Linked DNA regions of Drosophila melanogaster. The protein of the gene in region 1 interacts with the protein of each later gene in a pairwise test. Each region holds a gene or a part of one and is shown in the gene's direction. Other genes may lie near its edges. The genes, in order: CG13001 and CG3308.

Region 1 (3,931 bases):
CTCTTTTTGCCAACGAAATACGTTTAAATAAGAATCTTTAGGTGTACCTACTGAAGGGTTACAGATTTATGGTCATTTACCATATTGTTTTGACAAACCTTTAGTTCACTTGATGTGTTCCAATTGTAAACAAGAAAAAGCTATTAAAATAAGTAAGAGATGATAGATTACAGCTCTTCCCATTTAATATAAATATAATGCACATAGAGTGAGCAGCTAACATTATCTTTTAGTAATCATAATGTTTACGGATCATAGATACATTAGGCTCTAAAAATCCAAATATTTGTCAACTCACGAGTTTGTTGTATTTCACGTACCCCAACGAACTTATGCATAGTGTACTTTATTTATTACCATAACTAAAAGATCTTGAGAGGCTTTTATTTATTTAGCCCAATTTTCGGACTTATCGCCTGGATTGATCGATTAATTTGGTTATTGATTCTTCTGCGAAAGTCAAAGGGAAAAGCGCATCCAATCGGAGAATGTGTGTCGGCTGTCTTAATATGTTTATAATTGACTTAATTGCCAAACAATTAAGAACAGCAACAAAATGTGTCAAACGATGGAAAGAGAGAGAGAGAGAGGGAAGAGCGGTGGAGAGATGGAGCGAAGAAGCGCAACAGGTGACACCTGTCCCGCTCGCACAGTCTATCGCTAAATGGGAGCGATAAGCAGTTAGAAGCGAAATATATGTGTGTCAAAAATTATCATACATACAAATGTGTACACAGCCATAGTGGTTTTATAAATTTAGGAAAAAATATCATTATATTGCATAAAACGCATAGGTGGCAAAAACACTAAATTAAAATATAATACAAATATATAAACATATACTAACGAAATGTTTTTAAACATTTCAAAGTATAATGATTAAAATTCACAATGTTATCAATATTGCCGTATTTCGCATTATTTATATTTGATTTATTGTAGATATTACTATTATTTGGCACATAGCTGTCACTAAAAATTATCAGCCAACTAACACAGACACACAGCCCGTATGTAAACACGGATTGATTAGAACGCATTGAAGAGAGAAGAGACCATTGAAAATCGAAGCCCGCAGAAAAAGAGATCGCAAAGAAACTGCGGCTTTCAAATAAAAATAATAAAAATCGCTTTTACCTTTCGCTTTTTCCTTGTTAAAAATTTCGTATGCAGTTTCTGCGTGGTCAACTTAACTTCGTTTTATATTCACAACACACACAAACACAACCAGAGCACAACAATAAAAAACGAAAACAAAGAGTGTGAGAGAGAGGGAGAGAGCGGTGGGCGAAAAGCAAAGTCTCTGCTAAATTGCTAAGCTGATTTCCCACACATATCGATATTGCACTGATATTTTACTGCCGCAACTAGTTGACACATTTCCACAAACATTTCGGCCCAGTTTACTAATATTTGTTTATTTATTTATTATTCTTGCGGAATGAATCACTTGCGGAATGTTTCACACACACATACGCGCGCGTACGCATTGTTTGCATCTGTCTCTCTCTCTCGCGCGATCGATGTCTTTTTTTGTTGTTGTCTCCAAAAGGGAACAACAACTATTCGCTAAACAGAAGTTGACAATTCGCGGATGGAAAAGTCATGACCAGAACAAGATTCTTTGTTTTTGTCCCCAATGCCCGCTTTCCGAACCGGATTTTCCGATCCGAACGATCTGCGACCGATCGAAGAATACAAATGCATAATGTAATATAACGGGGCGCGCCTAGTGTGACCGTTGGCGGAAAGACAGCGAATGCCGGCAAAACTAGTTACTAAACTAGTAGCTAGGATACAAGTTATTAATTTTAGTTATATGTAATAATGTAAATTTTAATACTAACGTTCTTTCCATATAACTGAAACATTTTATATCAATAGTTAACTGAATATTATCTCGGCATGAATGCCAGATTTAAGTTTTTTGCCACAGCAACTGGAATTTACCGGATTTTTAAATTTTAAAGCAGCGCCCACGGTAAAATCAGTAAAGCACTTTAACTATAGTGTAATCATTTAAGTAAATTTGTACGTATAAGGAATTGGAATTGGAAGGAATTTGTTTTCTATTTAAAAAACGATATATACCGCACTGCCAGCTATCGATAGCAAATAATCGGCTGGTCGTGATTAAATGTAAAAATTACTTCCACGCTCTGGTAACACTGCATTGTATACCAGAAAAAAATGGTATTAGCATTAGCAGAGAAAAAATCAAATAAATAAAGAAAAAATCAATTAAAAGTGCGCCATTCCAAAGGATTATCCCAAAAGACGCGATCATCCATATCAGATGCTTAAGAATCGGCCGGAAAATCCGACATCGAACTATTAGGCTAGTGAAAAAGTGCAAAATAAACATTCGCCCAGTGGAGGGGGCCATACAGAAAACACTCGAGAGTCTTTCGAAAATACACATATTATACCACACGGATCGTTTTGGATCTACAATGGCCACCAGCGAGATCTCGAGCTCCAATGAGCGGCACTACTACGCCAAACTGGAGGCCATCAAGGACATCAGGGACAAGACGCTGTCGCTGGAGAAGCTCAAAGTGCGGATCATCAAGGAGGTGAAGCTGAGCGACGACGAGGAGAAGTGCCTGGAGGAGTACCGCAAGGAGATGGAGCACCTGCTCGAGGAGAAGATGTCGCACGTGGAAGAGCTGCGCCAGATCCACGCGGACATCAACGACATGGAGAACATCATCAAGCAGACGAAGGAGAACCAGACCCGCTCCTTCGACATGGCCAACCGGGTGTACGAGGAGTACCTGGCCCTGAAGTACCAGATTGATCACATGCGCCGCGACTATCTCGGACTAAGCCCGCTGCGAGATCTGCACGAGGAGGAGGGCAGTCCCATTTCGAAGGATCGCTTCCAGACCAACTTCCTTAAGGTGGCCGCCCAGTCGGCGGCAGCAGCAGCTGCTGCAGCTGCGGCGGCGGCCTCGGTTAATCAGAACTCGTCGTTGGCCCGTCCGCATGCCCGGCATCCTCTGATGCCGGAGGCCACGGTCACCGCGCTGCCTTCTGGCGGCGGACAGGGCGGCGTTGGTGGTGGCGGCGCTGCAGGCGGTGGCGGAGGATCTGTGGGCGGCGGAGGCGGTGGTGGCGGCAATCCTGGACACGCCTTCATGCCACCCGCACCGCCGGGAGCAGGCAGTGCTGCTGCCGCCGCCGCTGCTGCTGCAGTGCGTCTGGGCAAGGGTGACTTCTCAGCACCACCGCCACCGCCGCCGCCCAGCAATCGACTGCAGCAATCGCCTTCGATCGGCATCGGCCACCATCCCTCGTTCCGCTCCGACTTCAATGTGAATCTCCGCCAGCAGCCGCCGCCCATGAAGTCCTGTCTGTCCTGCCACCAGCAGATCCACCGGAACGCGCCCATCTGTCCGCTCTGCAAGGCCAAGTCGCGCTCCCGCAATCCGAAGAAGCCCAAGAAGAAGAACAACTAAGTGGCCACCGCTCCAGACCAGCAACTACACTCATCTTAAGTCCGGAGCTGGTTCCGGAAACTCAGCGCACTAAATCGAATGCGTTTTTTTTTTTTTGCCTCATCTATTTATTATTAATCCCAATGAAAAGTATTACAACGACGCAAGGCGGGTGTGCTCATGATTATCGGAGAAGATTTAAAAGAATGTCAAATACTTGCATTAATATTTTATACATTACTAGTGTATTTGAAAATCGATGAAGAAATTATTCATGACACGCCGGCCGCTAACAAATTCTCATAACAATTTTAGTTGGTAAACTCAATGAATTTGATTTTTATTTTAACTATAATCATAGGCTAAGTATTTTTTAAAAGCTCAAATAACGTGTCAAATTATCGAGAACAAAAATTTTGTTTATACATGTAAGCCATGCTAAATATGCAACTATGTTATATTTAAGCAGCAAAAAAAAAACACAAATATCA
Region 2 (3,931 bases), on another chromosome or scaffold:
TGTGCGTGCCATTCTGGACGTGAATGTGTTGGGAGTGACCTGGTGCACCCGCCAGTGGTTCCTATCGCTGCAGCGCCGCAAGGTAAACGACGGTCATGTGGTAGTCATCAATAGTGTGGTAGGCCACTCCGTTCCGGCCGTGGAGGGCTTCAGCCTGAACATGTACGCGCCCTCCAAACACGCGATCACCGCCTTGACCGAAATCCTGCGTCAGGAGTTCATCAAGAAGGGCACTCAAACAAAGATCACGGTAAGTGACCTTGCTCATCCAGTTCGCATGAGAACTTCTAATGATGTACGTATTTTAGAGCATCAGTCCTGGTGTAGTGGCCACTGAAATTTTCGAAGCCGGATCCTGGGAGCAACCCACAGGCATGCCCATGCTGCGATCGGAGGATATAGCCGATGCGGTGACCTACTGCATCCAGACGCCCCCAACTGTCCAGATAAAGGAGCTCATAATCAAGCCGGTTGGTGAGGGCTTTTGAAGTGACCACTTCCAAGTGACCAAGTAAGTTATTTGAACAAATACACAAATATCTTTTCAATAGCAGTGTAAACAAATAAAAAATGTACATGTTTAATTAATAGAGAAAAAATACACCCAAGGTCGCTCTTTTATCTCAACATGGAAACCGGGCTCAACTGGTTTTTGCTTACCCCAACGTTCAAGACGCCTTTCTATTAAACCCGTTTGTTCGTCGGGAACATTTTTAATGATGAATAATCCGGTATAAATCTTTATCTACCCATTTTTAATAAGAATATTTGATATCAAAATTTACCTAGACAAACACCCTCGCTATTATTTATCGATTAGGGTGACTCCGAAATATATGTAGATAGGAATTTATTATTCAGGAATTGTTAATGGTCTCTTCAGATCCAAAAAAAATCCAATTAATTCCAATGATACTGCGACATTGGGAATTATCTATTAAGTAGTCAATCCACCCCAGACGATTATGCTTATAATTTTAAAAATGTACCCAAAAGATAAGAGTTAATTCGAAAACAAGTCGCACTGCCGAAAGACATATGCAGATGAGTGCTGTCTGCAGCTGATGGCCAAGGGAGTGTGGTTGATAGTTCCAGCCAAAAGGGTGAACTGTCTCCAGAAGATGAACTCCTCCACTGCCATCAGCAAGCTGGCTTCCATTTTCCCCCTGCGATGTCACCAATGGTGACCCTTTTTGGTACATTTTCTTGAATCGATAAGAGTTTGGGTGGTGCTGATGTTAAGTAAAAACATTATGATAGAGGGAAACTCGGATGATCTGATAACAATACCGTTCTAGATACCATTGCACCAGGAGTACATTGCAGAAGTCTTCCGACAAGAGTTTATCAACAGGGGAACTCAATATAATATGCCTGTTGGAAGTAGTAGGTTGGATGTGTTTATTATAATGAGTTTCCCCCTTAGAGCATCTGCTAACCATTGTAGATACGTAAATAATCAGTGGCATGGAACACCGGCATACACAAGCTGAGAATAGAGGATTGAGCCGGTGCAATATCATATTACACTCACTATCAAGCCGTGGGCGAACTTGTTTAAACCTTTGTTTCTTGATAAAAAAAAATGAACAAGCTTTGTGTGGGCCAACTCAAATAAATAAACAATCGCACTTGAATACAATGAATCGTTTTAGTTAAATAATCTTGCAGGTGTTTGGAAAGAATATAATGAAAACATTATTCTCATTTGTTCGTTTGTTTAACCAAAACTGAAGGTGGGGTCGGTGCAAGTGTGTGGGCTTGGGTTTTAAATCCCCAAAAACAATGACTGTTGCCGAAACAAAAAATTCGACTCAGTTATATTTAGTTGCGACTTCTGGTATGGTATTGTGAAATATTTAATTATTTGTCTTAAGATGTTACTATTGATGATCGGAATTCTACTATATACATGAAACAAATATATTTATATCAAATAATTGGACTGAATTTTATTACATAATATTTATTTTGATAACAATTTAAATTCAAACACGATATAATTTGGTGCTACGTATCGATTCCGACTATCGATTGCATGCAGAGTGTAGTACCTGCACTGACCCGTTCTGCAGACGTTGTTCAACTCTAGCCAGCAGTTGTAGTTCGTGTCGGGATTGTTTTTTAGATTAATATTTCTCAACTTTTAGACCATTGATTGCCGAATTGGTCAACTCTTCCAAATTCCAACAAATTCAGTAGATCCACATTTCACGGCTTTCACCGCCGTCGCGTTTCCTTGCGCCCTCAAAAACAAGCTAATTGAATTACCCACGCACACAGTCGCAGCCCAGCAATCCATCGCCTGCGTCATAAGCTATTTTCGTCGATAATAGATCCAAGATTCCGATCCAGAACATGGACCCCAGTCAACAGACGCCCCAGGAGACGGTGGTGGCCCCCGTGGCCCCGCTGCTGGAGGATCAGCTGGAATTGGACATGAAGCACTGCTTTGAGAACCTGATCGTCATCGACGTGGGTGCGAATCTGACCAACAAGAAGTATAGCCGTGATCTGGATTCCGTGGTGCAGAGAGCCAGAGACGCAGGTTTGTATGCCAGCATCAGATACTACATGTGCAGGCATAATTAATAAGACCCGGGCAGTGTCTTCGTTCTGGGGCGAGGCTGCGAAAACACCCAGACAGCCAGAAGGTCGGGCTATTGGCGAGCAACAAGTGTGCCTGTGTTTTGATATATGTATGCATGTACATATGTGCCCTGGGAGATGGCATTACAAATTCAATGGGAACGTAGCTGGAGATTAAAAACCAAATAACCAAGATGTCAACACAACAATATTTGCATAGGATAAATTTTTAAAGGAAACTATAAACATTTAAATATATGTAAGAGATAAATTCTCTTTACATATTTGATTTGATATTCAACAAAAAATTTGTTTTTTAAATACATTTACTTAAAGGGATACATTACAATGCTGATAAGAGTATCTGATCGAAAGCAAACAGAAGTCACATATTTTCTCTTTTGTACACAAGTCTGTAGCCCAGTGAACGTTGCACTAACTTTCTCCCGCCTTTCTTGTTGCAGGTGTCCAGAAACTAATGGTTCACGGCACTTCGGTCAAATCGAGCAAGGAAGCGCTGCGCCTTTCGCGCATCTATCCCGACATAATCTACTCAACTGCTGGCATTCACCCGCACGACTCCAAGTCCATCGTGGAAGAGCCGGCCACGTGGTTCGATCTGGAGCACATCGCCCAGGCGCAGGAGTGTGTGGCGATTGGCCCCTGCGGCTTGGACTACCAGCGGGACTTCTCCGAACCGGACGCCCAGAAGCAGATCTTCGCCAAGCAGCTGCATCTGGCCATCCGGCTAAATAAACCTCTGCTGATCCACGAGCGGTCGGCTCAGCTCGATTTACTCGAAATACTAGACAAGTAAGAGCCGTAGATTTGGTTTACAAAACTTTAAATTGTTCCCCGCGCAGATTCGAGAATCTTCCGCCTGTGATCATCAGAGGTTTTATGGGCACCGCCGAGGAGGCGCTTAAGTACCTAGACCGGAGGTTCTACATCAGCCTGACGGGCTACCTGTGCAAGGACAAATCGGATACTGGCGTTCGCCGCCTGCTGGAGGACGGCACATTGCCGCTAGACAGACTACTGGTGGAGACGGATGCTCCTTTCATGTACCCAAACACAAGGGCTTCCAAGCTACCGCAACACGTGAAGACTGGTATCACCGAACGCTCATTGTTGTACTTACACAGGTGGGCGAAGTAAAAAGTACCAAAATAGGTCACTCTTCTATTAGTTCAAAATACCTTCCAGATATTGTACCTTCCAACGCAACGAGCCGTGCAGTTTGCCCGCCATTGTAGAGATGATAGCCGCCTTCATGAAGAAAAGCCCGGACGAGGTGGCTTTGGCCACTGCCTTTAATGCCCTGAAACTGTTTGGCTTGTCC

The links.
Region 2: the proteins of CG13001 (region 1) and CG3308 interact in a two-hybrid assay, tested with the Drosophila melanogaster proteins (one large-scale study listed by BioGRID).

The regions. Positions count from the first base shown.
Region 1 is NC_004354.4:16,941,105-16,945,035, reverse strand, and holds the start of CG13001 (uncharacterized protein), read left to right. Parts: upstream 1-2,164; 5' UTR 2,165-2,453; coding exon 2,454-3,461; 3' UTR 3,462-3,931.
Region 2 is NT_033777.3:21,271,958-21,275,888, reverse strand, and holds the start of CG3308 (uncharacterized protein), read left to right. Parts: upstream 1-2,071; 5' UTR 2,072-2,358; coding exon 2,359-2,548; intron 2,549-3,053; coding exon 3,054-3,402; intron 3,403-3,452; coding exon 3,453-3,734; intron 3,735-3,795; coding exon 3,796-3,931. Other genes in the region: CG3301 (uncharacterized protein), read left to right, coding at 1-250, 309-488.